4 linked regions of the Arabidopsis thaliana genome follow. The protein of the gene in region 1 interacts with the protein of each later gene in a pairwise test. Each region holds a gene or a part of one and is shown in the gene's direction. Other genes may lie near its edges. The genes, in order: PAP2, AT2G36340, ARF19 and ARF6.

Region 1 (5,895 bases):
GGATGTTAAATCAAGGAGGGTAAGTGGCTTCTTTGTCTAAAGATTCACACTGTCTCTTTGTTCTTTTTTTTTCTTCTTTTTTCGATTACGACACAAACCGATCTTTCACTAACGCTGTAAGTACGGTCGTCCACTGATTTAACATTTTAGGTTTAGTGTAATTCCATTCGATCCTCAACTAACTACATAGTTTTCAATTATAGTCATAATTATTATGCTTGATGAAAAGCAGAAAAAAATGAAAAAACATTAAGTATAACATCAGTACTAAAAATAAATAAAATTATAGTATGTATTTGTCGCTCACACAAGTCTATAAACAAACATTCAAAACCAACATTTTAAGTTACTTAAGCTGTCTCTCGCTAGTATAATTAAACCCTAGAGTTACTTATGATGTCTCTTGTTAATACAGTAAACCCAACGTGGCCATATATAATAATAACAATAATTAAAACCGCCACATGTGATGCAACATCCATATAGATAAGTAAATACTTTGGGTAACTCCAACTAATCTTTAGATTTTATAGCCTTCATATGATTTCTATAGTGATAGACACATTTTTACTAAAGATTCGTATCCTTAGATAGCTTTGTAAGTAACTAATGGCACGATTAGATGGTGAGTTAAGGTGGAATATAAGTTGAGATGTCCCAAAAACGACAAAAACCTTGCCCAAAAAAAGAGAGAGACAAAGGAAAAGTTAAAGAAAGGCACCTTATGATTAAGACACTCGAACTTACACTAAAACACAAATCTAAAAAGCTTTAGATAAGATCCAAAGATGGATCCACCTTAGAGGCAGGCTTTAACCAAATTACTATGCATATGATATTTTATAATACTGCAACTTACAGGTCTTTTTTGTATGTCTTCTTGCTATGTATATACTTATCGTTGTTACAAATGAATGACTTAATCAATACAGCCAAACAATATATAAATCACTGGTAGAATATAAATGACAATATTTCATATACTTCTTCTCATGTTATATTGTTATAGCATCAGATATATTGGTTTAATAAATATGGGTTAAAATATGAGTTGAAACGTTTAAATGTAGATTGAGTCATCCACTTAAAAAATATACTTGGAGATAGATTAGATGGGCATAAATACTATCAAAGTTAAATCTGATTTGATCATTTAAACTTTTATTAATTTAAGACTATGATCCAAGTATCAAAGTTTTACTAATAGGTCAAATTGTAATGTACTGTAGCATATATGCTCGATTTTGGGAAAACATTGTCTGATAAAAATGAAAAGTGGAGTGTGGAGACCACAATTCTTTTTGGGAACACTGCTCAATATTGCTACTGCGGCTAAGTGGCAAAGAGCTACCCCTACTGTTTCTTTCCTCTTTTCATGCTTCTGGTGGACCCAAAAAATGAGAGCCTATGGGCCCAAAACTTTTTCGAGATTCTCTTCTCTGTTCTCACCCCCAAGCCTAAATATCATCTTCCATCGCAATTATTGGCGACTTACTAATAATCTCCATTCGTTAGCTAAACTACTAGTGAATTTATACAAGTTTGTGAAGTTTAAACTCCAATACGTTTGATTTATTATAGAATATGTTATGCTATCATGCACATGATTAAATGGTTCACCGTTATTAGATTATCATTATCATCACTCAATTTCATGAGTAAAGATTGGTTTCACGAGCTAACTTATGAGTTATATCAAATCGTCTAGTGAATCTAAAACATATAATGTTAAGCCAAACTAAACAGAATTAGTGACTCATTACAACATCTCTATACATATATCAAAAAGGAATTGCATACAAAAGCGTATTTTAGATACTAAATCGTTTTGCATGATAGCATAACATGCACACCTTCATGAGATAGCAAATTGTTTTTTTCAAATACAAAAGTAAAAAGTAAAACAAAACGTGGAATACGAGAGTCGAGACAAGGGCATAATAGGAAAGGTTTCAGGACGCTTTCTGTGACCTGTCGGGGAGTAGATGTCTACACAAAACGTAACGTGTATATACAATACATTCATGTGTACCATTTTCTTAAATCAACATTTTGTGTTTAAACCCGCCAAAAGAGGAAAGTACTTACTTCTAATTACGGTTTATATGAATATAAAATTACGTATACTACTTCCGTCCACTTTTGGAAAATAATACGATTCCAAGAAAAAAGAAGATTAAAGGTAAAAAAATAAAAAAAAATAAAGCTCTCTCACACACCTTTTTATCATTTCTCATTTTCACTCACAATTTGATCTCATCTTTAAATTTTTTTGTTTCCCATTTCTCTCAGAAAGTGTTCTGTTCTTTTTTTCTTTTGTAATCACTAAATGCTTCAAAAGTTTGTCCACAATTATATTTGAAAAAAATGTCTGTATCTGTAGCAGCAGAGCATGATTACATAGGTTTGTCAGAGTTTCCAACCATGGAAGCAACAACAATGTCTGACAAAACCAAAACCAGAGACAATAACAACGGTCTCAATTTCAAGGCTACCGAGTTAAGACTCGGTTTACCCGGTTCTGAGTCGCCGGAGCGAGTCGACTCAAGATTCTTGGCTCTCAACAAGAGTAGCTGTCCCGTGTCAGGTGCCAAAAGGGTGTTCTCCGACGCTATTAACGACTCTAACAAATGGGTCTTCTCTCCTGGATCCACTACTGCTACTGGTGATGTCGGCTCGGGTTCTGGTCCCCGTACCTCCGTCGTTAAAGATGGAAAGTCGACAACTTTCACTAAACCGGCTGTTCCGGTTAAGGAGAAGAAGAGCTCTGCTACAGCTCCAGCTTCAAAGTAAGCTTTTTTTGCTCTGTTTTAGATTTTTCTCAGCTTTTTTGCTCTGTTTTATGATTTCTGTGAAGAGGGATTCTTGATGTTTTTTTTTTTTGATTGAGCAGAGCACAAGTGGTGGGATGGCCACCAATAAGATCATTCAGGAAGAACTCAATGGCTTCTTCTCAATCTCAGAAACCTGGTAATAACTCAGAGACTGAAGAAGCAGAAGCTAAGTCTGGACCAGAACAACCTTGCTTGTATGTCAAAGTGAGTATGGAAGGTGCTCCTTACTTGAGGAAAATCGATCTCAAGACTTACAAAAGCTACCTTGAGCTCTCTTCTGCTCTTGAGAAGATGTTCAGTTGCTTCACCATTGGTAACGTTTTCTAGTCTCTCCTTCTTTGAGATCAATACCAGTGATTGAGTTAACTGTTTTCTTTTGGTTCCTTTTTTCAGGTCAGTTTGGTTCTCATGGAGGGTGTGGCAGAGATGGGTTAAACGAGAGTCGCTTGACTGATCTCTTGCGTGGTTCTGAGTATGTTGTAACCTATGAAGATAAAGACAGTGACTGGATGCTGGTCGGAGATGTCCCTTGGGAGTAAGTCTTTGATTTTTAAAAGATCAATCTCAACAATGTAAATTAACATCAAGTATTAGATCATATCTAATGATCTTAGCACAGTTTTAGCTTAACAGAAGAATATAGATCAGTGAAGCTCTCTTACTGTTTTTTCCTCTGCAGAATGTTTATATGCTCCTGCAAGAAGCTGAGAATCATGAAGAGCTCTGAGGCTATCGGCTTAGGTTAGTATTTCTTTACTAAACCCTAGTTTAATGTTCCACACCCATGTGCTCGATTTTAAGATGTATTAGAAAGGTGGTCCATTTTGAACTAAGACACCCTTCTAATACTTTCATGGTTCTTAAGCTTCTCGCTGGATTCTATAAACATTCTGAAGCTAAAGAAATATATTACTGGAGAAACTAAAACGATGCAATTTAGTCCTTTCCAAGCCTCTTAAACACTAGGAACTTACTGCACACTACTGTACAAATGAAGAATACACAATGATTCATACACAAATCTTGCTTTTTCTTTTTTTGCAGCTCCAAGGGTGATGGAGAAGTGCAGAAGCAGGAACTAGGAAAAGCCCTTTTATGTGATAATATATGATTTGAAAAAATATGTTTTTAAGAAATTGAATAGCCATTTTGTTTTGAAGTATTCTTGTGTGTTTGTGTGCTAGGAGTGATGTTTGATCTTTCTTAAACCAGCCTCTACTAAGCTCTAATAAGGCCTCTTCCTCTTACTTCTTTCTCTAATCAATCTAATGAAACATATGGGTTTGTGTATGTGTGTTTGCCAAGGAAGACTTCATAATTCATATGTATAAAAGTTTTGGTAGTGTGTAAACCGGATGTGGTTTTCATTGTTATATATGTTTTGGATGCAAACTTTACTATAGAAAATAGTTTTTCTAGTTCATGAGTTTCCATGAAATGAAGTTATAATGATCCTTTGATAGAGCTTATATCATTCAAACAAAAGACTTCAAAAACAAGGGTTTATTACTAGACATGTACAACGGGTTTACAAGACGCACAACACTTACTAGCGTTTTCACATCTTCATACTAAACATATATATCTATACTACTAAAGAACCTAATCCTCAGATTCCTTTCTTTATGACTTCTATGTACAAAACGAAAGTGAAGACACCCACAAAGGCTTACCGGGATGACAGAGTACCTCCGATATACTTCCTTATGTCTCAGTTTTTCTGAAAACTCCAGCTTCTCTTGCTGAGGTTGCTCACTATCCAGCCAAAGTCGAGTAGATTTTGCCCGTATTGTATCTTCACAAGGTAACTTCTGTAGGGTATTAGTATGCTCTTGAGACCTGAAAGCATTCGAGATAGATGGTTTCAAGATACATCAGTACATCACCAAATGGAAACGGCCATTATCAAATATTACTACCTGAATAATAAGGTAAATTATGAAATAATCCCACATTGATATAAAAGCATAAGGAGATTGTAGTTACCTGTAATGCACATTGTTTTGTAAAAGTGAGCAACTTGAGCATCTCCCCTAGTAACTACACGCTTGTTTGATTCCAAACACTCAAGAAACGCCATGTCAGCTTTAAGCAACTCTGCCTGGTCATGAGTATCATAACCAATATCATGGCAATAACAGCAATGATCTAACCAATCAATAGGTCTCTGATCCCAAACCATCGAACCTCCATCTTTCCCACTAGACCAGTTAGGTCCACAATAATGTCCATATCTCGGGAAAAGCTGTGACAGAAACGCCCTCGTCCCTGTATGCCACGGAACCTTAGACACATAAGGTCTAAACCGATAAACAGTATTCACACCATTTGATCTTGATGACCTCCGAGAAAGAGCATGCCTTTTTAACCCTCTGTTGATAGTAGTGGGTTTCTGCTTACCATCAGAGGCATTTGCAGACCAAGGAAGAACTGAACTGAAGGAGGACCAAGTCCATATCTTTATATCAAATAAGCCTTTCTCTTTCTCTGGCTGTTTGAGAAGAAAGGTTGTTGCTTTCTCTTGCTCTGGCTGTTCCAATAGAGAAGTTGTTGTTGGTGTCACGGAATCAATCATAGCTACATCTTTCTTTGTGCTGATGCTACCAAACCAAGATATACTTGGCAACCCAAAATTCATCTGTAAACAACAAAACAGTGCATGCAATGACTTCAGCAATCAAGTGTGATCCAGACAAAAAGGGAAGATTTTTATCTTTTCAAATTGGGAAAATTTCGAAATTGCGAAAGATCAATACTCAAAACCCTAGAATTGACTAGTAAAGAAGAGTAAATCGGATCTCGAAAATAACAGAGAAGGATAATTCGAATGAGCTTTTGCATTGAGAGATTGGAATGTTCACGAACCTGAGCTTGAGAGACGCTACGAGAAGAGACAGACACACGTTTTCGTTTTTTTTTTCCTTAGCAAATGACAACCTCGGAATATCGTTCGTTACTTTATGTCTTTATCTATCCCTAAATTTTATTGGGCTCAAAATGGGCCGACCGACCTTTTTTAGCCCACAAATTATAAAAGGAAAAAAACATTATTGTAGTGTAT
Region 2 (6,197 bases), on another chromosome or scaffold:
AGATTAACAATAATGATAAAAGTTTCATGACGTTAGATCTCTACAATGCCTTTGTGACCATATTCAAGAACAAAGGAGTTTCAGGTACGTAAGATATATACCAACACTGTATATGACCAAACATAACCGATCACGTCTTTGATAGATTAAACAGAAATACATATACCTAAATAGATGGGATATATAATATAAATGTTTAAATTTGGGCAGGAGTTTCGACATTTCCGGATCCGTTTAAGGCATGTTGTGCAACAAAACGAGGTACCTTTTGTGGAGATAGAAGCTTGAGTGGTAAAAAGTTGTACACTCTTTGCGATGATCCAAAATCATTCTTCTTTTGGGACAATGTTCATATCAGTGATCAAGGATGGCGTTCTGTTTTTTCTCTTCTTCTTCCTGATTCACAGTTTTAAATCAACTAGATCAATATGCAATAATTCTCCATTCTAATGATATATGATGATTATCAATTGTCTTCATAACAATGCATACAAAGATTATTTCAATACCCACTTAAATAATAATTATTAGCTAGAGACTCTAGTCTAGAGTCAAAACCAAGGGCCACAAAGAACAAATCAAAGTTTTAGGTGCGAATTGTCAAAACTAAAATAGTGGGGCATTATACGAAAGAACCAAGAATACAGGGAGAAGTAGACAAAGAATCTTGCAAAGTCTTCTTTCTGTGTTTGATTCTCATCAAAGACTTCACTTTTGTTCTTTGTCGCTTCAATTCAACGCTTATTCCTAAATTCGATTTTGCGTTGTCAAATTCCTTAAATTTCGTTACAAAGGTTTGATATTTCCGATGAGATCTCCAGCAAAGACGATGCCGTCGATGTCACCTTCTTCAGTTTCCACGGAGAAATCTCCACCTCCGTCAGATACTTCAATGGCTATAGTAGCTTTCGATAACTCCACTACTCACTTCTCTTCTTCTCCATCGCCGCCACATTCTCTTGATCATTCCAGTGAATCGGAGAAGGAAGATGCGAAAAGTAAACCCGAGAGTAGAAGAAACAAGAATCCTGGAAAGGTTGAGGAAACTCCATCTCCGATTGTGGTGGTTCATAATCACAATCGCTCTGTGAAAGAAGTGGTTCCGACGAGAAAGAGTGCGAGAGTTGGTTCTGGGAGAAGTAGTGGCCAACGATCTGGAGCTGTTTCGGCTATTTTGAGAAGGTCTAGGAGAGAAGAGGTGGTAAAGTTTTCAGCTTTAGGGTTTCGGTTGAGTGAGGTTGTGTTGGCTTTGATATCTTTCTCAATTATGGCTGCTGATAAAACTAAAGGTTGGAGTGGTGATTCTTTCGATCGTTACAAGGAGTACAGGTAATTATTTGTTGTGTTTGTGCTTATTTCTTCGCAGATAGTGATGTTTCTTGAATTTAGGTTCAGGGTTTATTTTAGGGTTTAGGGTTTTATCAGTATCACTAGTGTTGGTTTTTTGATAAGAAATTTGGATTACTTTAGTTTTAGTACATGTGAATTGTCTTTAACACTTGCGTGGTCCAAGTCTATGTTTTGGTTGAACTTGGTGAAGTCCTTAAAAGAAGTAAAGTTTGTTCCTTTTGACATTGATTTTGATTTGTTGGATCGTAAGAATTCATTTGCAGTTTCCATTTTGTTGTTTTGGTCAAACATTTGAAGTCAGTTTAGTATGATTTGATTTTTGATTTTGAGACTAAACTGATTTATCTATGTGTCATCTTCTGATATCTGTGACAGGTTTTGCCTGTCTGTGAACGTGGTTGCTTTTGTATATTCTAGTTTTCAAGCATGTGACTTAGCGTACCATCTTGTCAAAGAGAAGCATTTGATCAGCCACCACCTTCGACCTCTGTTTGAGTTCATTATAGATCAGGCAAGTCATTAACACTTATGCTGTACTCTCGATGGTATTCCTTTGTTACTTTCGTTCTTGTATGAAGTATGATCTACGTGGTTGCATCTAGGTGATGAGAAAAACTTGGCTATAGATAATTCCTGATACTTTGACTTGCACCATCTGCTGGTATTTACCCTGTCTCCTGTGAATCAAAGAACAACACTTTGTGGTTAAAGTCCAATATTGTTACTCTTTTTCTTTATGCTTTAGCTTATAGCATATGTGGAAAGGGATTTATCTTATAGGTCGGAAAACATGGTGAAAGTGACTGTTATACTTGTTTGACCAAACTACTCCCTTCATTACATAATTGAAATCTCTTTCGTCCCCTGCAAAACATTTCAAAAGCATGTGTAAAAACAGATGGAATTATGAATAAGAAAGGTTTGTTTTGTTTGTGCAATCAGGTACTTGCATATCTGCTTATGTCTGCCTCAACAGCAGCAGTCACTCGCGTTGATGATTGGGTTTCAAACTGGGGAAAAGACGAGTTCACAGAGATGGCAAGTGCCTCGATTGCTATGTCCTTCCTGGCCTTCCTTGCCTTTGCTTTCAGTTCCCTCATTTCAGGCTATAACCTATTTAACCAAGGCTCTCTCTGATCCTCCCACCTTTTTGTATAGGTCCACACTCCTTGTGTGATGTATAATAAAAATGATCAATATATCTTAGCATTGTAATTATTATACTATTTTTGTAGCCTATATAAAGGTTTCCAAAAACTATGAGGTTAATAAGAGAGGCATATCCTGTTGTCAAAAGGGTCTTTATAGCCAACTAAATAAAGACTCTGACAGAGCAAAAGGCAACAACTTTTCAGCTCTTGAGCCATATGAGTGTCCTCGATTGTAAATGAGACCTCAGACTTATCCATTGTGCATCTTGAACCCTGAAGAAGGAAGAAGAAACCATCTTGCACAAGCCCAATGTTTAAAAATGGAAAAGGGTATTTTAGTCATTTACGTTTTCGACACTCGGACTTCCTAGTTCCTACGCCTGGAGAATATCAATAGCCGCCAAAGGATTGATCGTGCTTTTGCTTCGTATCGTCTCTGGGTTTTTAAATAGAGAGACTCGAGAGACTCTGTTTGACAATAGGGTTTTGAGCTTTCTGAGAGTTTTATATAACTTGACAAAGTTTTGATCTTTCATCACCGATCAATGGTTGGTACGAAGAGAGTTGCTGATTCCATCGACACCAACTCGGATGACACACTCACGAGGAACCGTGAGGTTGAAGTTGAGGCGATGCTCAGTAGGAGAAAGCAACTAAGGACAACAACGACGAGGACAACAACGACGAGGACAACACCATTGAGCTTGTCTTCCTCTGCTTCAAAGATGAACTGGTCTAAAAACGATGAGCTTGTCATTCTCGGGGTTAGTTAGTAAATTCTTTGCAGCTTCTCTATATTCTTCTTTATCCTCTTCTAACTTTTTTTACTCTATTTTGTGTGTGTGTGTAAAAGGGTATTGTGGACTATGAGAATGAAACGAAATTGAGCTATAGATCTGACTGGGATGCCTTGTACCGTTATATCAAAGATTGTGTAGAAGCAAAGTTTTCGAAGATTCAGCTCATCAATAAGGTCAAGAACATGAAGAGAAAGTTTACATACAATCAGGGGAGATCTAACCATGGGGAACAACTTTCTTTTACTAATACTGATGATGATGAAATCTTCAAATTGTCATTGATCATATGGGACAAGAATGAATCAGAGTATGTTTCTAATGAGAATATAGACCAAGCTAAGGTGAGTGTCTTTGTTCTGTTTTTCAACAATCTCTTAGACTACTAATGTGCAATGAATTAATGATCTTGTTTTCTTGATTTGCATAAGGATGTTCCTTCTGGTGAGCCAGAGACTAATGATGTGCCTTGTGAGGAGCAAGACGATAGGGATGTGCCTTGTGAGGAGCAAGAGCGAGCGAATATCGAGATTGATAATGGTGTGAGAGAGAAATTGGACCAAGCCAAGGTGAGTGTGTTAGTTCTGTTTTTTCTACCAATCTCCTTGTTACCATCTTAAAACATGATGTAAAAAATTGTGTTACTAATGATGTGCAATGAATTAATGATCTTGTTTTCTTGTTTTGAATAAGGATGTTCCTTGTGTGGAGCAAGAGAGTGAGGATGTGCCTTGTGTGGAGCAAGAGCGGGTGAGTATAGAGATTGATAATGGTGAGAAAGAGAAATTGGACCAAACCATGGTGAGTGTGTTTGTTCTGTTTCTACCGATCTTCTTATTACCACCTCAAAACATGATTTATTGATCTTGGTTTCTTGTTTTGAGTAAGGATTGTGAGGAGCAAGAGAATACGGATGTGCTTTGTGAGGAGAAAGGCGATAAGGATGTACCTTGTGAGGAGCAAGAGAATAAGGATGTGCCTTGTGAGGAGCAAGAGCGGGTGAGTATCGAGATTGATAATGGTGAGGAAGAGATGAGTAGCGAAGAAGATGGTGTGGATGAGGTAGGTGTTATGGAGGACACACTTGATTCTGGGATATCGTTTCAAGGTTTAGGTAAAAATGGTGTGAAAGACAAGAGTGAAGAAGATGATGTGGTTGAGTTGGGTGTTCTCCAGGAGATATTTAAGGAGGATACATTTTTTCAAAGTTTAGGTAGATATCAACAAAAATTGCTGCTTCAGAATTTGGAAAACGTTGGAGTTGAAAGAAGAAAAGAGCTCATCAACGAATGGAAGGCATTGTTTGTTGATGAGCAGCGATTGTGTGTCAAGAAACTAACTTTCGCCGCAAAGCTTGCAAACTTAGGAGTTTCTCCTTGATTCAATGAAGAAAAATCTCTGCTTTTGGAATGATCTCATTTTTTTTTGGTTGTGTCATATTGATAAGAAAAAACATGATGTATCCACGATCCGTTCTTGTTCTAGAGCCAGGTAACTGAGGTAAGTAACAGTTAGAGCTAACCATAGCAGATTCTCCTTTTTTTAGTGTTGTGTTTGTTTCGACTCTTCCTTTTGGGTTGGGCTTCGATAACGATTGTTCAGGCCCACTAACATTCTTTTCTTATTGTGCGTCTGTCTCTTTCGAGAAAAAGACACAAGCACTTAAAGCCAAGATTCGCATTTTGCCACATGCCACTAATTTCACCTTGTGTTAGATATTATTTTTGTACTACACACTCAACGAAGACCATAGATCAACTCAAAATATTTATTACACAACAATTATCGGAGAAGAGATTGATGTGAAATGTAATGAAGACGAAAAGAAAATAAAAAAAGAAACGACGAATTTGGACGTAATTTTCAGCCAAAACATATGCTTTGGGTCCCACACTTTCACATTTCAACTTTATCATCACACCGAAACACTAAACACCAAAATCCCCGACAAATTTAAAGAAAATTTTTCCATTTTTTTTTTTTACTCTATCTCTGTGAGAGATTCTCTTCAAGCTCAGGCCTTTAGGCTTTAGGTTTCTTTTGGGAGTCTTCTTGAGCTCTGTAATCACTCTCTAGAAGCTTATTTTGCCTCCTAATGTTATTAGGTACGTCTTTGTATCTGTACTTGCTTCTGCATTTTTCGATATTTGTTTCTTTTGATGAGATTTGGGGACTCTTCCTTCAGAAGGATTTGAAGATTTTGACATCTTCCATTAAAAGTTGAATCTTTACTTAAGCTAGTGTTCTTAGCATTCTGTTTATGTTAGCTTCATGAGATCTGGGATCTCGAGGCTGCTTTTTTTTTTTGCTTTGATTTCACATTTAATGGGTTTTGATTACATTTTCATTAGGTGAAGTGAGTTGAACTTGGCTTGTGGTTTTGATGAATTTCTTTCTATTAAAAGTTTTGGTTTCCCTACCAAAAAAATGTCTTCTTTTTGTTAATTAAAGTCTAAAAGTAGCTAATCTCTATCTGTACTTGTGTAGGGTTCATCATTTGAGTCTATAACTATAATGACTTTCACTGTTCATTTCCTTTTTAAATCTCTTGTTGTTTCCCTTTCCTTACTTTGTTCATCATTTCTCCTTCCCTTTACTCAATAGACACTGCTCTTCCTTTGGATTATTGCTCTGTGAGTTATTTAAAATAAGCCATAAGGTCTCTTCTTATGATTGTTGCAGGGTGTTGTACTGGAATTATTAGGATGAACCAAGGAAGATGAGTCTCTCGGTCTTTCAAAAACCAAGTCTTGTAATGAGGAGCTGTCCACTGTTGTAAAGTAAGTCATTAAGATGGAATCCTTTGCAGGTTCTTGTGAAATTGTTGAGGAGAAGGATGCGGTAAGGTTAGCCAAACATTCTAGCAGATATTGTATGTCACCTTTGGGATCAAGTAAAG
Region 3 (9,062 bases), on another chromosome or scaffold:
TAAAAGATTTTTTTTGTTAAAAGTTAAGAAAGAAGAATGTTGAGAGAACCATCAATGTTAAACCAATAGATGATAGTCAAGATTCATAGTATAAAAATTTACCACATTGGTTGAGAGATCAATTCCTTTCACCATAATGTCAATCATAATTAGCCGCTAGAAACGTTTTCTATGTCAAAAATACACAGCTTTTTCATATTGATTTTGGTTCAGAATTTCATGGTTTTATACCTTGTTTGATAACGTCATTAGAACATATGTACTTTTGTACTACTGAAACATTAAACTAGTGTGCAAAACAAGATTTTAAGATAGTCTAAATTCCAGTTAACAGAAAAATAAAAAATATTGTTGGTTGGGAAATAGTAGAACAAACGAGAGAGAGAGTGTGTGTGGTTACGATGAGGAGAAGAGACATAGAGGCATACACTCACTTAAAAGCAAAACCATTTTGGCTAAACCGAAAGACTCGGTCGGAGTCTAGAGCCTGTCTCTCCCGACATCCTCTGCCACACCTCACGTGCATGCTGCACCCACACTCACGTGCACATACATTTTTCTTGTGTTTTAGTTATTTTAGTAAAAACGATATATTTATTGACTCTTTCTGTAATGGTGGTAGAAATTGAGGAATTCACAAAAGTCCCAAGTTTTTGTTATATATGGTGCATGCGTATGTATTTGAGGAAACTTTTGCAGGATGCGTGGATCAAATCCAATTATAATTTAATTTTATATAGATATAAAAGTCAATAGTGGGAGGTGAAAAAAATATCAACAATGATTGAGTGTTACTACTACTAGAATGGTTAATTCGTTTTGATGAGGAGTGATTTCTAAACACATCAATTGTTGTACGTACATATACTCTCCACGCGCAGCAAATATTGACCCAAAAAGGCATAAAAAACACTAAAGCATGCCAACTTTTTATTCTTGTTGAGATTTACTTTGTCGTCCCATATCTTTTCAAATTTTGATCCTCTATAATATATGTTTAAACCTAACTTATCAAACTTTACATTCCTTTTTCTTTTGCTCACTAGGTAAGGCTCTTGAGATCGCTTCACCTCATCTCTTGTTTAACATTTATAAACATGTAGCTGTCTGGTTAATCAATTTACATGTGGTAAATTATAAATTACTCTAGAAAGAGATGTATATTAAACTGCTAAGTTCATGGCTAATCTTCGGTATTTCTTGTTTAACCGCGATAAGTTGAACATATATTAATGAGCTCTTATGGTTTTTGTTTAATGTCCATTTGGAGGTGTGATCATCTCATATGTTCTCACCAAAAGATTACCACTTGAATTCTTTTACATGTGAAATGTTTTAATTTATTAACCCTCTTCTGTTTTGATCAAAACATAAACTATATATTTGAATCTTTTATATATAATTCATATTAATTAAATAACATCATGTTTTCAATGAATGTATTGACATGATATCAATGAAGAATATTTACTTTGGAAAGAGTCAGAGTTGTTCTCGAAAGATATTTAAATGTTCCAAATTATTTCCGTTTGTCTAAACATAGAAAATCCCTAATTACATATAAATCAACAAAAAGGTAATAATTAGGTCAAAACCTCCCCCACTAAATACATGTATACTGAGATTCAGAAATACAATACTATTATAGTATATGTTAATTGAAAGCAAAATTCATAAGAAAGATCGGCGTTGAAAGGAAAAAGGCTCTACAACTACATTTTATATGCATACGTAGAGAGCTGAAAGTAAGGAACAACTCTACTCCGGTCCAGATTAATTGTAAAGAACTTTATACATTAATTAAAACAAAAACGAACACTTTATACTATTGATTAAAAAAAGAAGAAGATGAATAAAATAATTGCCTGAAAAATTAATAATTACACATGAAGGCTTAGCTTTAATTGGAGTATAATGATGTCCGTAGCTCTGTAAACATGTGAAGTTCTCCTCCTTTTGCGGCTAGTGGGTGCTCCATTGCGTATCAAAAGGAATATTATTCTAATCATAATTAAGTCATTAAATTACTAGTAGTGTTTTTTTTTTTCTCGCATTATACGGACATGTCTCAATTTGGACCAATCCATATAAATGAATAAACTTATTAGCTACTACTATATTATAACAGAAAATATGTATATAAAAGAAAAAAAGTGGGACATCTTTTCTGGTAACCAAGAGTTTACAACTTTGGATTAGAAAATATTTAAGTCCCCATTTGGCTTGCAATTTTCGGTCCGCCGAACCTAATCCTTAGGTTTTTCTCAATATATCCGGGTTTATGGTATAACCTCATTCATAAGAAAATCCGTATTACTAAAGTAAAAAATTAAAAATATGGTTATAAAAACGAGGGAAAGTTAACAGATTTTAAAACCATGGACTGTTTTTCCAACAACAGTAAATTATAATCGGAAAAGATAAAAATAAAAAGAAATAAAAAAGGTGGGACCGACAAGAAGAAGACATCAAGTGGGGTGCCACGTCAGAAGGCATAAGAAAAGATTTCATCTTTCCGCATGTATCCGATCCCAATCGGCTTAAATCTCAATATCGATTATTGTTTTTATTTTTTTGAAAAAACACTTGAGAATCTGCAGAAACACGAGAAAAAAAAGAAAAGTTTCAAAGCTTTTTAAGAGCTTAAAAATTTGCTTTGAAGCTTCAAATATTCTTATGAACTAAAAAGAAGAAAAAAGCTTTTGTTTCTTTTTCCTTAGCAGCAGAATGATTTTTGTTTCCAAAATTATTACTATTTAGTTTCTCTCGTGCTCTTCTCTTGAGCAAATACAGATTCGTTAATTTTGCTGAAGAAGAAGAACTCTGTTTCTTCCCTGCACCAAACCAATTTTTTCGTTCTTTCTATAAACCATGAAAGCTCCATCAAATGGATTTCTTCCAAGTTCCAACGAAGGTACACAAGCTTTATATTTATCTTCTTCTTTTCCAGATTTTATACTATTCAATTTCTTCATCAAGGAGTTTCTGCATTTCATGTTTGTGATTTTCTCATTGAAAAAATGAATTTTGTTATTCAATTTCAACTTTGGAGTCAGCACAAAGTCACAAATCGAGTTCTTCTATCACTTTATTTAATAAAGTGGTTGAAACATAAATGCCGCTCATAAAATTTCCAGACTTTAAATGAAACTATGCAAAAATTCTATCACTTTTAACAGATTTGAATATGTGTGTGATGATGATGAACAGGAGAGAAGAAGCCAATCAATTCTCAACTATGGCACGCTTGTGCAGGGCCTTTAGTTTCATTACCTCCTGTGGGAAGTCTTGTGGTTTACTTCCCTCAAGGACACAGCGAGCAAGTAAGTTCATTGCGTTTCAAACTATTTTGAAACCTTTGGTAGCAATCTAAGTAATATGTTCAATGAAACCTTTTTTCAGGTTGCAGCATCGATGCAGAAGCAAACAGATTTTATACCAAATTACCCAAATCTTCCTTCTAAGCTGATTTGCTTGCTTCACAGTGTTACATTACATGTAAGTCTCTTCTGACTCCAACTTGTGAATCAACAAGAAGATGAACTAATCAGGACTTTTGTGAAATTCTGAATCAGGCTGATACCGAAACAGATGAAGTCTATGCACAAATGACTCTTCAACCTGTGAATAAGGTCTGAATTATATCATTCTTCTTGTGCTATCTTGGTTTAAAGTTGAGGACTTTAATGCTGATCTTTGCTCAAAATGTGTGACAGTATGATAGAGAAGCATTGCTAGCTTCTGATATGGGCTTGAAGCTAAACAGACAACCTACTGAGTTTTTTTGCAAGACTCTTACTGCAAGTGACACAAGCACTCATGGTGGATTCTCTGTACCGCGTCGTGCAGCTGAGAAAATATTCCCTCCTCTTGTATGTCTCTCTGATCAAAGCTACTCTCAGTTTCTTTTGCTTCAAACTTTTGAATCTGTTTTGCTAAAAGTTCTAAGGGTGCTTAAAATAGGATTTCTCGATGCAACCGCCTGCGCAAGAGATTGTAGCTAAAGATTTACATGATACTACATGGACTTTCAGACATATCTATCGAGGTTTGAATCATCTAAAGTTTGTTTTATTAGTCTAAAAGATTGAAAACTTCAACCTGATTTGTTTTCTTTGATGTAATCTGATCTCAGGCCAACCAAAAAGACACTTGCTTACCACAGGTTGGAGCGTTTTTGTTAGCACAAAGAGACTATTTGCGGGTGATTCAGTTTTGTTTGTAAGGTATGAGTCATACTTTGATCAAAACATTAAGCAGAATTGGACTTTCATCTTCTCATAAGGGTACTTGGGTTTGCAGAGATGAGAAATCACAGCTGATGTTGGGTATAAGACGTGCAAATAGACAAACTCCGACTCTTTCCTCATCGGTCATATCCAGCGACAGTATGCACATTGGGATACTTGCAGCTGCAGCTCATGCTAATGCCAATAGTAGCCCTTTTACCATCTTCTTCAATCCAAGGGCAAGTCCTTCAGAGTTTGTAGTTCCTTTAGCCAAATACAACAAAGCCTTATACGCTCAAGTATCTCTAGGAATGAGATTCCGGATGATGTTTGAGACTGAGGATTGTGGGGTTCGTAGATATATGGGTACAGTCACAGGTATTAGTGATCTTGACCCTGTAAGATGGAAAGGCTCACAATGGCGTAATCTTCAGGTAATGACATATCCGAGTTATGCTAAACTGTTTATGATGGTCATTTCTTCTGAATCTTTTGTTCATGGTTTAAACAGGTAGGATGGGATGAATCAACAGCTGGAGATAGGCCAAGCCGAGTATCCATATGGGAAATCGAACCCGTCATAACTCCTTTTTACATATGTCCTCCTCCATTTTTCAGACCTAAGTACCCGAGGCAACCCGGGATGCCAGGTGAGTTTACTGCTTTCGTTCATTTTTTTCCCATAGATCTTTGACTGAGTTTCCGGATACTAACCTTGGTGGTTTGTTGCAGATGATGAGTTAGACATGGAAAATGCTTTCAAAAGAGCAATGCCTTGGATGGGAGAAGACTTTGGGATGAAGGACGCACAGAGTTCGATGTTCCCTGGTTTAAGTCTAGTTCAATGGATGAGTATGCAGCAAAACAATCCATTGTCAGGTTCTGCTACTCCTCAGCTCCCGTCCGCGCTCTCATCTTTTAACCTACCAAACAATTTTGCTTCCAACGACCCTTCCAAGCTGTTGAACTTCCAATCCCCAAACCTCTCTTCCGCAAATTCCCAATTCAACAAACCGAACACGGTTAACCATATCAGCCAACAGATGCAAGCACAACCAGCCATGGTGAAATCTCAACAACAACAACAACAACAACAACAACAACACCAACACCAACAACAACAACTGCAACAACAACAACAACTACAGATGTCACAGCAACAGGTGCAGCAACAAGGGATTTATAACAATGGTACGATTGCTGTTGCTAACCAAGTCTCTTGTCAAAGTCCAAACCAACCTACTGGATTCTCTCAGTCTCAGCTTCAGCAGCAGTCAATGCTCCCTACTGGTGCTAAAATGACACACCAGAACATAAATTCTATGGGGAATAAAGGCTTGTCTCAAATGACATCGTTTGCGCAAGAAATGCAGTTTCAGCAGCAACTGGAAATGCATAACAGTAGCCAGTTATTAAGAAACCAGCAAGAACAGTCCTCTCTCCATTCATTACAACAAAATCTGTCCCAAAATCCTCAGCAACTCCAAATGCAACAACAATCATCAAAACCAAGTCCTTCACAACAGCTTCAGTTGCAGCTACTGCAGAAGCTACAGCAGCAGCAACAGCAGCAGTCGATTCCTCCAGTAAGCTCATCCTTACAGCCACAATTATCAGCGTTGCAGCAGACACAAAGCCATCAATTGCAACAACTTCTGTCGTCTCAAAATCAACAGCCCTTGGCACATGGTAATAACAGCTTCCCAGCTTCAACTTTCATGCAGCCTCCACAGATTCAGGTGAGTCCTCAGCAGCAAGGACAGATGAGTAACAAAAATCTTGTAGCCGCTGGAAGATCACATTCTGGCCACACAGATGGAGAAGCTCCTTCTTGTTCAACCTCACCTTCCGCCAATAACACGGGACATGATAATGTTTCACCGACAAATTTCCTGAGCAGAAATCAACAGCAAGGACAAGCTGCATCTGTATCTGCATCTGATTCAGTCTTTGAGCGCGCAAGCAATCCGGTCCAAGAGCTTTATACAAAAACTGAGAGCCGGATCAGTCAAGGCATGATGAATATGAAGAGTGCTGGTGAACATTTCAGATTTAAAAGCGCGGTAACAGATCAAATCGATGTATCCACAGCGGGAACGACGTACTGTCCTGATGTTGTTGGCCCTGTACAGCAGCAACAAACTTTCCCACTACCATCATTTGGTTTTGATGGAGACTGCCAATCTCATCATCCAAGAAACAACTTAGCTTTCCCTGGTAATCTCGAAGCCGTAACTTCTGATCCACTCTATTCTCAAAAGGACTTTCAAAACTTGGTTCCCAACTATGGCAACACACCAAGAGACATTGAGACGGAGCTGTCCAGTGCTGCAATCAGTTCTCAGTCATTTGGTATTCCCAGCATTCCCTTTAAGCCCGGATGTTCAAATGAGGTTGGCGGCATCAATGATTCAGGAATCATGAATGGTGGAGGACTGTGGCCCAATCAGACTCAACGAATGCGAACATATACAAAGGTTAGAGATCTTTCTCTCCCTTTCCATAGCTCTAATCTTTTGCTTCTTAATTTTCGAATGCTAAATGCCGAAAGTTGTTAAATCATTGAAGGTTCAAAAACGAGGGTCAGTAGGTAGATCAATAGATGTTACCCGTTATAGCGGCTATGATGAACTTAGGCATGACTTAGCGAGAATGTTTGGCATCGAAGGACAGCTCGAAGATCCGCTAACCTCTGATTGGAAACTCGTCTACACCGATCACGAAAACGATATTTTACTAGTTGGTGATGATCCTTGGGAGTACGTTCCAGACCTGAAAAATCTATCTGTAACAGTCAAGATTGAACAATTCTGATAATTCTTGTCTGTTTGTTTTTTCCACAGAGAGTTTGTGAACTGCGTGCAGAACATAAAGATACTATCATCAGTAGAAGTTCAGCAAATGAGCTTAGACGGAGATCTTGCAGCTATCCCAACCACAAACCAAGCCTGCAGCGAAACAGACAGCGGAAATGCTTGGAAAGTACACTATGAAGACACTTCTGCTGCAGCTTCTTTCAACAGATAGAAATAAAAAGATGCAAATATACCAAGTCAACTTACATTATCATTCGAGGCCATCGCAAAGTACATGTTTTTTTTTGTGTGTATGTACTGCAAACAACAAACTGAGAAGAAGAAGATACTGCACGGTATATAAACATTTTTATAGGACAGTGATTTGATTTTTCATTCTAACTTGATGTTGTTGTACTTTCTTGTTTCCATATTTGTATAACAAGTATAATGCTTGACAAGTCTATGAGGAGCATATCTTATACAGAGATACTAAGATGTAATGTTAATGTAACTAAACAATTACCTTCATTAATCATGAATCTTTGGTCGTTTCTTCTTCTTCTCTTCAGTGCCTCCTAAGAATCAGGGATCATTTCAGATTCTTTTATACCAGTATCCTCTAGACGCAGCGAAATATTCAACATTTCAACGTTTGAAAACGAAAAGAGAGGAGTTAAAGAAAGAATCACGTGAAAAACAAGGACAAGGACAAGAAAACCAAACAGTCTCTGAGATTTCCCGTGTGAGTTGTGACCCACACACATTAAGACTCAAGCTTCTAGTAACATCCGCCACGTGTCCATTCCCCTGACACTTTGCGGCGTTTTAAGTACAAACGCGCTCCCTTTGACCTTTGAAGCTGACCTTCTTTCTTCTTCACGCGCCATAAAAAGTCAAAAACTCACTCTTCACTCTTTTATTTCACTCGTATAAATAAATTTCTGAAGCGCCAAATACAATTATCTCAATTCAAATCAACACTAACACTGAAGAACAGAGCTCACTGAAAAAACTTAACAGAACAAAATTAAACCGGAAAACAGAGAAATCATACCGGGTTGGTTCAATCGCGTCTTTGTTTGGTTTAATCGTGATGGAAGGGTCGTCTTCTTCGATGCAGTCAAAGTACAAAGGAGTGAGGAAGAGGAAATGGGGAAAATGGGTTTCAGAGATCAGACTTCCCAACAGCAGAGAACGTATTTGGTTGGGCTCTTACGATACTCCTGAGAAGGCGGCGCGTGCTTTCGACGCGGCTCTTTATTGTCTCCGTGGCAACAACGCAAAGTTCAATTTCCCTGATAATCCTCCGGTGATCTCCGGCGGACGTAACTTGTCGCGATCTGAGATAAGAGAAGCTGCTGCGAGGTTCGCTAATTCGGCGGAGGATGATTCAAGTGGCGGAGCAGGATACGAGATACGGCAAGAATCTGCTTCAACATCGATGGACGTTGATTCGGAGTTTTTGAGTATGCTTCCGACGGTTGGTTCGGGTAACTTCGCTTCGGAGTTTGGGTTATTCCCTGGGTTTGATGATTTCTCCGATGAATACTCCGGTGATCGTTTCAGAGAGCAGCTTTCGCCTACACAAGATTATTATCAGCTTGGAGAAGAGACTTACGCCGATGGTTCCATGTTTCTTTGGAATTTTTGAATTCCATTATTCACAATCTGAAAATTTTGACTTGGGTTTTTTATTTTTTTTTGTAGTTCTTTACCCAATTTTTTTTTGATCATTGGGATAAAGAGTTATTCATTCACTATTTTTTTCCCACGTGTTAGATTTTTCAGATGGGAAAAGGCCAAACTTAATAAAACAATTATATTTGGATCTTCTGACGTCATTTGATCATATTATCATGATATCATCCACTCCAATCGCTTTCACTAGGCCCAATTACAAATCTTATTTTAACTGTACGATTAAGCCCAACAATAATACTTCAGGCCCATTAAAATCAATAAGGGTATTGTCTTATTAAATTTCAATTACAATTTTTACTTTAAGTTGTACGATTAAGCCTAATAATAATATTTC
Region 4 (8,930 bases), on another chromosome or scaffold:
ACGATATCGAATGATTCTTAAAACCGTAAAAAGTAGTGGTCTGAAAACAAGTTGATAGTAACAGTTTTGTGATTCAGAATTATTGAAACGATAATCTAGGTACCATAATAGTATAGGATTACCATTAACATAACACTCATAACAGTCGACGAACAATAAATATGGATATTTTTCGTATAAATGTGTGTAGTACACACAAGGATCCACACGTGTGGATTCAGTGTGGGGGAGGGAAGGGTAATTGCGTGTAGCGATGGAACACCGTAAGTACTGTGAAAGAGACCAATGGAAGAAGCCCTACTCTCTCGTTTTTAGTATTATGTCACGTCCCATCTCCAACTCATGTGAGTGCCCACTCGTAATTTTGATCCAACGGCTACGATTCATTCCTTGTTTTCATAACCATCATCGTACACCGCTCACTTCCTTTCTTTCTAGGGACAACCATACACTGTCCTATTCTTCTTCTTCTTACGCATATAATAGTATCTACATAACTATTTTGACGTCGAAAATCTATCCTATACGTATTTTAATAATATATATTACCCGTCAATTCAACTTTGTATATATCGCCGACAGAAATATATTAATACATATTCGTATATACATACCGGCTGTTCTTAATAAAGAAAGATTTCGCTTTTGAGAATCTTGTGACCCAATTCAAAACGTATAGAGTGGTGTGATAGCTAGTTAAAAGAATTTGACCATTCACAAATTCGTTTTGGTTCATATCAAAATTGATTTCCATTGCAATACGAATACGAGAATGACAAAAGTCAATGAATGATTTTGTAAGCAGAATTGATCAAGTATGACTAAGAAGCACTATTTTGGCCGCCAGGAAACTATGTTAGGAACATCATTACAAAAATTACAAATCTACGCTTTGTTATATACATGACATATAATCGATGATGCCTTCAAAATTAGTTTCATATTGAAACATAACAAAAATTAATAGTTTAACATGATAATTGACATATGTTGATTATACTAAATAAATTATTTGTAAAATAGGGGGGAGAGAGAAATATGAAGTAACAAAAACAAAAAAGAAAAGAAATGAGAAGATGTCTCTAAAAGCGAATTTTTAATTATTTATTACTCACCTAGTCACCTTATTTGTCATTTTTAATTTTTTATGTTAAGTAATTCTGAAATCTTCCATTGTTTTCACTAAATTCACCCATAATTCTATATATCCATTTTTTAAAACATAACTTGTGAAATCTAGTGTATATAATAACTAATAACTGTTATATTTTTATATTTGTTTGTGTGGGAAAATGTTAAGTAATAACTGTTATTTTGTATAACATGTTCTCTGTATATAATAAACAAGCACTAGGGTACTAGCTATAAGCTACGTTTCTAATTTGTCGCAAATTTTTAAGGTTTTGCTTAAGAATTAGTTGCATAAACAAATGCTAGTTGGATACTTTTGATGCTGATGTTTTATGTACGTATATCACTTTCTTGCATAAAAACACATTAGCCGAATTTTCTAGCAACTGACAATAATGCAACTGAATTTAATACAAATAAATAAATAAAATCTACAAAAGATATGGCGATGGTACTGATCTATTTGTATATAATGCTGTTTCCAACGTTACCCTTGTTTACGTCAAGAAGTTGCACGTGCCTTCTTAGGGCAGTCTTGTCATTTCCCCTAGGTAAATGATCACTATCTCCATTGTTTGGAATCAAAATTCATGTTCTCTAAATTTTTTTCTTTCTTTCGGATAAAATTATCTAATTAAAATTTATTGGAATCTTAAGAAAAAACACGTATATTCTTTATTACAATATATAGCTGAAGAAATCAGATTCGCAAATTTCCAAACGAGGAAGTGTGTATTATACATATATATTACCAATTATACCCTCTTCTACATGCAATTCGAACTACTATTATATACATAAAAAAAAAAAAAATAGAATCAGGAAACCCTAAAAGCACGTCCTGTCATTTTTATCAGGTGATTTCACTGTCTATATATATTGACTTATTGCTATATTCTATATAAAATAAATTTTGCTGTAATTCGCACACTTCCATTTTCACATTACACAATCAAATAATGAGGCAAAATAAAATAGCCAATGAAAGAGTACTTATGTACTCCAAACAGAACTTTTAAACCTTGACCAGTAAACCAAAGGATTTCTACAGCAATGATATTTTTCCTAAAACAAATTGATTCATTTTATTTGCAATAGTTCACTAAAACTCTAGTATAAAAAAGCCTTTGGTCATCCACTAGCTGAAAAAAATCTACAACAACACATAATTTTTATAAAACTACTATGACAAAGAAAAAAAAAAGAGTAAGAAATACGATCATGTAATACTATAATATATGATGGTACCATAACGTATTATTATTTTTTTTTTTTTCCTTTGTACCATAACGTATTATTAAAACCATAATAGTACTCAATTTTAATTACATGGACGACGCAACGAAGTTTTGAAATTCGGGAGAAGCATAAATTAAAAAAAGGCACGAGTCCCAAACTGTAAATAAAAAGGAAATAAGGGGTAAATTAGTAAATTAAGTGTCCTTTCAGAACAACAAGTTGCTTTAGAAGAAAATCAAAGACCCGCTCCGTTCGGGTTCGGGTCAAAAAACAGCCATTGTCGTTCTTTCTTCTTCTTCTGATTCTCATTTCAAATAAGAGAGAGAGAGAGAGAAGTAAGTAAAACTTTAGCAGAGAGAAGAATAAACAAATAATTATAGCACCGTCACGTCGCCGCCGTATTTCGTTACCGGAAAAAAAAAATCATTCTTCAACATAAAAATAAAAACAGTCTCTTTCTTTCTATCTTTGTCTATCTTTGATTATTCTCTGTGTACCCATGTTCTGCAACAGTTGAGCAAGTGCATGCCCCATATCTCTCTGTTTCTCATTTCCCGATCTTTGCATTAATCATATACTTCGCCTGAGATCTCGATTAAGCCAGCTTATAGAAGAAGAAACGGCACCAGCTTCTGTCGTTTTAGTTAGCTCGAGATCTGTGTTTCTTTTTTTCTTGGCTTCTGAGCTTTTGGCGGTGGTGGGTTTTTCTGGAGAAACCCAAACGACTATCAAAGTTTTGTTTTTTACAATTTTAAGTGGGAGTTATGAGTGGGGTGGATTAAGTAAGTTACAAGTATGAAGGAGTTGAAGATTCGAAGAAGCGGTTTTGAAGTCGGCGAGACCAAGATTGCGAGCTTATTTGGCTGATGATTTATTTCAGGGAAGAAGAAATAAATCTGTTTTTTTTAGGGTTTTTAGATTTGGTTGGTGAATGGGTGGGAGGTGGAGGGAAACAGTTAAAAAAGTTATGCTTTTAGTGTCTCTTCTTCATAATTACATTTGGGCATCTTGAAATCTTTGGATCTTTGAAGAAACAAAGTTGTGTTTTTTTTTTTGTTCTTTGTTGTTTGCTTTTTAAGTTAGAATAAAAAATGAGATTATCTTCAGCTGGGTTTAATCCTCAACCTCATGAAGGTAATTCTCTCTTTTCTCTCTCTATTGCTTTGATACTTCTAGCAAATAGTGATTTTAAACTAACTTTGTGAGTTTTGGATTGAAAGTTACAGGAGAGAAAAGAGTTCTTAATTCTGAGCTCTGGCATGCTTGTGCTGGTCCTCTTGTCTCACTACCTCCTGTTGGAAGCAGAGTTGTGTATTTTCCTCAAGGTCACAGTGAACAGGTTTTTGTCTCCTTCCTTTTATGATTTGGATTCAAATCTTTCCTTTTTGGTTACAGGTTACTTGAGAATGTTTTGTGGTTTTCAGGTTGCTGCTTCGACCAACAAAGAAGTAGATGCTCATATACCAAATTATCCGAGCTTGCATCCGCAGCTTATCTGTCAGCTTCATAATGTTACAATGCATGTAAGGAACTCACTATCAGTTTTTATGACAAACTTTTCTAAGTGTCTTTTCTGTTTGTGTGTTAGTTAAGAACTTGATTCCTTACCATTTCAGGCTGATGTGGAGACTGATGAAGTCTATGCACAGATGACTTTGCAACCGTTGAATGCGGTATGAGACTTTACTATGTAATTCATAATTAATTTTGTGGAATTTGTCGGTGTTTTGAACCTTCTTTGCTTGGTTTGAATGCAGCAAGAGCAAAAAGATCCTTACCTTCCCGCGGAATTAGGTGTCCCAAGTAGACAGCCTACAAACTATTTCTGTAAAACTCTGACTGCTAGTGATACAAGCACTCACGGAGGTTTTTCTGTACCTCGCCGAGCTGCTGAGAAAGTTTTCCCTCCCTTGGTAATTCATCTTATTGTTCATATGAATTCTACTTTCAAGATTAGCTATTGCCTCCTTAACAATAAAATTTTATGTGTTCTTCAGGATTACTCGCAGCAGCCACCAGCTCAAGAGTTAATGGCGAGGGATCTGCATGATAATGAATGGAAGTTCAGGCATATTTTCCGAGGTTAGCTTTCTTCGTGAAAAATCCAAGTTCTTATTAATAGCTGAAGAACAAAGAGATTTATTTAATCTGTATTTGTTTCTGCGTTATAGGCCAACCAAAGAGACATCTCCTTACCACGGGTTGGAGCGTATTTGTGAGTGCTAAAAGGCTTGTTGCTGGTGACTCTGTTCTTTTCATCTGGTTAGAAACATCTTTCAAATTGGGGTTTTTGTTTAAGTGTTACATTCAAATCATGAAACTGACTCAAGTATTTGTAATGCTAGGAACGATAAGAATCAATTACTTCTTGGTATAAGACGAGCCAACCGACCACAAACTGTCATGCCTTCATCTGTTTTGTCAAGTGACAGTATGCATTTAGGCCTTCTTGCTGCAGCAGCTCATGCTGCCGCTACAAACAGCCGATTCACCATCTTCTATAACCCGAGGTATCGTCTTAAGTACCTTATGAATGCACTTATGTGTTGATTCTCTTCGTTTTGCATCAAACGGATTCGGTTTTTCTGCAGGGCGAGTCCATCAGAGTTTGTTATACCCCTGGCTAAGTATGTGAAAGCGGTTTATCACACTCGCGTCTCTGTTGGTATGCGGTTTAGGATGCTGTTTGAAACTGAAGAATCTAGTGTTCGTCGGTAGGTGAATTATCAGAGTTCCTATAATTTACTCTGCTTTTTGCTGCTGAATGTCCTTAAGAATCTTCGTTTGTTGTCAGGTACATGGGTACAATAACTGGCATTTGTGATCTAGATCCTACTCGTTGGGCTAATTCGCATTGGCGATCTGTCAAGGTTTAGCTCAAAACCAAACCTTTAGTAGAAAATATTCATTGGTCTTTGCATTCTCGTATACATATATCATTCATCATCTGATCAAAATGCAGGTTGGGTGGGACGAATCTACTGCAGGAGAGAGACAGCCAAGGGTTTCATTGTGGGAGATTGAGCCTTTAACAACATTCCCTATGTATCCATCTCCTTTTCCTCTCAGGCTTAAACGGCCGTGGCCTCCTGGTCTCCCATCTTTCCATGGTATTGTAAATTTCAAAACTTTAACAAATCTCTGAAAGGTTTCTATTTCTAGTCTTTTATATCTTCTAATTTTGGTTGCAGGCCTTAAAGAAGATGATATGGGTATGAGTATGAGTTCACCGCTTATGTGGGATCGAGGACTCCAATCTCTAAACTTTCAAGGTATGGGAGTAAACCCGTGGATGCAGCCGAGACTTGATACGTCGGGCTTGCTTGGTATGCAAAATGATGTGTACCAAGCAATGGCTGCAGCTGCCCTTCAAGACATGAGAGGCATTGATCCTGCAAAAGCTGCTGCTTCACTTCTTCAGTTCCAAAATTCGCCGGGGTTCTCAATGCAATCTCCGTCCTTAGTGCAGCCGCAGATGCTGCAGCAGCAACTCTCTCAGCAGCAGCAACAACTCTCTCAGCAGCAGCAGCAGCAGCAACAGCTCTCCCAACAGCAGCAGCAACAGCTCTCTCAACAGCAGCAGCAGCAGCTCTCTCAACAGCAGCAGCAACAACTCTCTCAGCAGCAGCAGCAACAGGCGTATCTTGGCGTTCCTGAAACCCACCAGCCTCAGTCTCAGGCTCAATCACAGTCAAACAATCATCTTTCTCAGCAGCAGCAGCAAGTAGTGGATAATCATAATCCGTCTGCGTCCAGTGCTGCTGTTGTTTCCGCTATGTCTCAATTTGGTTCTGCTTCTCAGCCCAACACGTCACCACTCCAGTCCATGACCTCTCTGTGTCATCAGCAAAGCTTCTCCGATACCAACGGAGGAAACAATCCTATTTCTCCACTTCACACTCTTCTCAGTAACTTCTCTCAAGACGAATCTTCTCAACTGCTCCACCTCACTAGAACAAACTCTGCAATGACTTCATCCGGTTGGCCATCAAAGCGTCCTGCAGTTGATTCATCGTTCCAGCACTCTGGAGCCGGTAATAATAACACTCAATCCGTATTGGAGCAACTGGGACAGTCCCACACAAGCAACGTTCCTCCAAACGCTGTCTCGTTGCCTCCATTTCCCGGTGGTAGAGAGTGCTCGATCGAGCAAGAAGGAAGCGCCTCAGACCCGCATAGCCATCTTCTCTTTGGAGTCAATATAGATTCATCTTCTCTTTTGATGCCGAACGGAATGTCAAACCTTAGAAGCATTGGTATTGAAGGTGGTGACTCCACGACTTTACCCTTCACATCATCTAATTTCAACAATGATTTCTCGGGTAATCTTGCAATGACAACACCTTCTAGTTGCATAGATGAATCGGGTTTTCTACAATCCTCAGAAAACCTCGGTTCCGAGAACCCACAATCTAACACCTTTGTGAAGGTAAAGTTTTATTTCTTTTCCCTACCCAAAATGTTCTTCTTGTTTGCATGCATAGCGATGATTCCGGAAATGTTTTTGTAGGTGTACAAGTCAGGGTCTTTTGGAAGATCGTTAGATATATCAAAGTTTAGCAGCTACCACGAGCTGCGAAGCGAGCTTGCTCGCATGTTTGGCCTCGAAGGCCAATTAGAAGACCCTGTGAGATCAGGCTGGCAGCTTGTATTTGTTGACCGAGAGAACGACGTTCTTCTCCTCGGCGATGACCCTTGGCCGTGAGTTTATTAACTTATCCCTCATTTCCGCATTTGGTTTTGTCCATTTCCATGTTTATTTACCTGCATTTACCATTATCGACAGGGAGTTTGTGAGCAGCGTGTGGTGCATTAAGATACTGTCACCACAAGAAGTGCAACAAATGGGAAAAAGAGGCCTTGAGCTTCTCAACTCCGCGCCATCTTCCAACAATGTCGATAAGCTCCCGAGCAACGGGAACTGTGACGACTTTGGGAACCGGTCAGACCCGAGGAATCTCGGTAACGGTATCGCATCAGTTGGGGGTTCATTCAACTACTAGAAGTAGATGGAAACCTCCCTTTTTATTCAAGTTAAGTTTCAATCTTATAAATTAGTAGTGAGATCATCTTAGTTTAATTACTAGCAAAAATCTCTCTTTATTACTTATAAAAAAGGGAGATTTGCCTTTGCCTTTGATGGAAACAAAAACTATATAATCCCTCTGTCGACTCGTAATACTGTAATTATAAGATCTTTTGGTCTTTTTCTTATATGAATATTTTTACTGAACTCTATATATGTCACTTTCCTTACTCATTTCTTCAATCAATATGATAGTGAAGGGTTATTTTGGAGTTACATTAAGACTTTGTCTGACTAAAATGGTCCACAGAGAAAGTGATTTGGGTCCCAATCTCCTTATTGGAAGTGAAAGCGTTTTGTGGTTTTGTTGTGTGAAACACCAAAATATTCCGACCCGCAATTTGGGGCTTTACCCTAAAATTAGATCTCATTTTGCGTCAGCAAAAACTTTATCTCTAGACACGTATCGATCCGTAGTTCGTAGGACATTTTTATTGGTAGGTAAATTAATATATGCCCTTATCGTTTATAGTAAGTTTTTTTTTTCACAATATCGTTTATAGTAAGTTTAGTTTTCACCAAAGAATATGAAACGAAATTTGTAGAATGAGTATGGTTTTTGTTTGCGTCTTCATGTTAAGATAATTAGAATATTATAACATGGTAAAAAAGGAAATCTAACTCCTATTAACTTGAGAAAATAAACGTCATTTCGATAATTGATCGAAATTGTTGTGAATTTGGAAAATATCTTGCAATATAACTTTTTCTTGTTCGGTTTTATCGGAATGGGATTAGGTAAGTTATGAAATGGGCATCATTTGAATAGTATAAGAAGAATTTATGATTTAGTTTGGTATTTGATATTATTTTTGTTTGGTTGTCCATTAGGATATATATATAATAGAGTGACCAATTAATTGAAGACCATGTTTTATATATGATATTTAGTCAAAGAAATAACAAATCTGATAAAGAGATATTTGTAAGTATTTGGTTTTGATGTGTGGTGTATGAATGTGACTCACATAAATCTTTAGTGGTGGGACTATATATTCTAAGTAAGAAATTGGAAATGGTTGAAAATAATGTTGGGTGCATGTGGTAGGGACATTTATAGATGACACAAGTTAGGGCACTTTCATGAGCCCTAATTAAATAGTGCATGGTGACCCATCATTCTGAAAGTTCTCACCTTCTTTCTTTTCTTTTCTTTTTACCTTTTTTTCTTCTTTTAAAAGGTATTTCTTCATCTTACAAAATCAATTATTAATTTTAGTTTCATAGGATGTAGTAGCCATTCATTACATGGTTAAGAATATATTCAAATGAAGATCTAAGATCATAGCTTTTGTCTACTACACATAGAATCGTATGTCTTTTCTTGATAGATGTCATAACTATATAATTTCAATCTTATTAGAATTTCATGACTTTAATATCTAGAATTCTTGTTTGTTTAATTTGGGATTAAGTAGCTGAAAGTGGACGAATAAAACTCTTTGAGTTCATTAATTCAAAAACATGCATGAGT

Evidence for each region.
Region 2: the proteins of PAP2 (region 1) and AT2G36340 interact in binary tests that used the Arabidopsis thaliana proteins (3 or more experiments, as listed by UniProt).
Region 3: the proteins of PAP2 (region 1) and ARF19 interact in binary tests that used the Arabidopsis thaliana proteins (3 or more experiments, as listed by UniProt).
Region 4: the proteins of PAP2 (region 1) and ARF6 interact in a two-hybrid assay, tested with the Arabidopsis thaliana proteins (2 studies listed by BioGRID).

Annotation. Positions count from the first base shown.
Region 1 is NC_003075.7:14,321,686-14,327,580, reverse strand, and holds PAP2 (phytochrome-associated protein 2), read left to right. Parts: upstream 1-2,219; 5' UTR 2,220-2,367; coding exon 2,368-2,789; intron 2,790-2,893; coding exon 2,894-3,147; intron 3,148-3,227; coding exon 3,228-3,369; intron 3,370-3,513; coding exon 3,514-3,575; intron 3,576-3,878; coding exon 3,879-3,916; 3' UTR 3,917-4,285; downstream 4,286-5,895. Other genes in the region: AT4G29070 (Phospholipase A2 family protein), read right to left, coding at 4,546-4,673, 4,821-5,472. UniProt on the Arabidopsis thaliana protein: Aux/IAA proteins are short-lived transcriptional factors that function as repressors of early auxin response genes at low auxin concentrations.
Region 2 is NC_003071.7:15,232,812-15,239,008, forward strand, and holds AT2G36340 (DNA-binding storekeeper protein-related transcriptional regulator), read left to right. Parts: upstream 1-2,675; 5' UTR 2,676-3,046; coding exon 3,047-3,265; intron 3,266-3,354; coding exon 3,355-3,642; intron 3,643-3,729; coding exon 3,730-3,867; intron 3,868-3,991; coding exon 3,992-4,099; intron 4,100-4,186; coding exon 4,187-4,678; 3' UTR 4,679-5,093; downstream 5,094-6,197. Other genes in the region: AT2G36325 (GDSL-like Lipase/Acylhydrolase superfamily protein), read left to right, coding at 1-84, 211-413; AT2G36330 (Uncharacterized protein family (UPF0497)), read left to right, coding at 809-1,329, 1,726-1,861, 2,293-2,487; AT2G36350 (Protein kinase superfamily protein), read left to right, coding at 6,092-6,197. UniProt on the Arabidopsis thaliana protein: Probable transcription factor. Involved in stress responses. Plays a repressive role in cell expansion by counteracting the positive role of CPR5 in this process, but does not regulate cell proliferation or endoreduplication.
Region 3 is NC_003070.9:6,626,589-6,635,650, reverse strand, and holds ARF19 (auxin response factor 19), read left to right. Parts: upstream 1-2,517; 5' UTR 2,518-2,871; coding exon 2,872-2,914; intron 2,915-3,210; coding exon 3,211-3,323; intron 3,324-3,402; coding exon 3,403-3,498; intron 3,499-3,575; coding exon 3,576-3,632; intron 3,633-3,716; coding exon 3,717-3,872; intron 3,873-3,963; coding exon 3,964-4,048; intron 4,049-4,135; coding exon 4,136-4,226; intron 4,227-4,302; coding exon 4,303-4,663; intron 4,664-4,740; coding exon 4,741-4,879; intron 4,880-4,961; coding exon 4,962-6,706; intron 6,707-6,797; coding exon 6,798-6,988; intron 6,989-7,072; coding exon 7,073-7,256; 3' UTR 7,257-7,968; downstream 7,969-9,062. Other genes in the region: AT1G19210 (Integrase-type DNA-binding superfamily protein), read left to right, coding at 8,121-8,678. UniProt on the Arabidopsis thaliana protein: Auxin response factors (ARFs) are transcriptional factors that bind specifically to the DNA sequence 5'-TGTCTC-3' found in the auxin-responsive promoter elements (AuxREs). Could act as transcriptional activator or repressor.
Region 4 is NC_003070.9:10,684,568-10,693,497, reverse strand, and holds ARF6 (auxin response factor 6), read left to right. Parts: upstream 1-2,509; 5' UTR 2,510-3,461; coding exon 3,462-3,504; intron 3,505-3,590; coding exon 3,591-3,709; intron 3,710-3,794; coding exon 3,795-3,893; intron 3,894-3,986; coding exon 3,987-4,043; intron 4,044-4,127; coding exon 4,128-4,283; intron 4,284-4,367; coding exon 4,368-4,452; intron 4,453-4,541; coding exon 4,542-4,632; intron 4,633-4,715; coding exon 4,716-4,880; intron 4,881-4,961; coding exon 4,962-5,084; intron 5,085-5,164; coding exon 5,165-5,240; intron 5,241-5,332; coding exon 5,333-5,480; intron 5,481-5,561; coding exon 5,562-6,799; intron 6,800-6,880; coding exon 6,881-7,071; intron 7,072-7,156; coding exon 7,157-7,373; 3' UTR 7,374-7,676; downstream 7,677-8,930. UniProt on the Arabidopsis thaliana protein: Auxin response factors (ARFs) are transcriptional factors that bind specifically to the DNA sequence 5'-TGTCTC-3' found in the auxin-responsive promoter elements (AuxREs). Seems to act as transcriptional activator.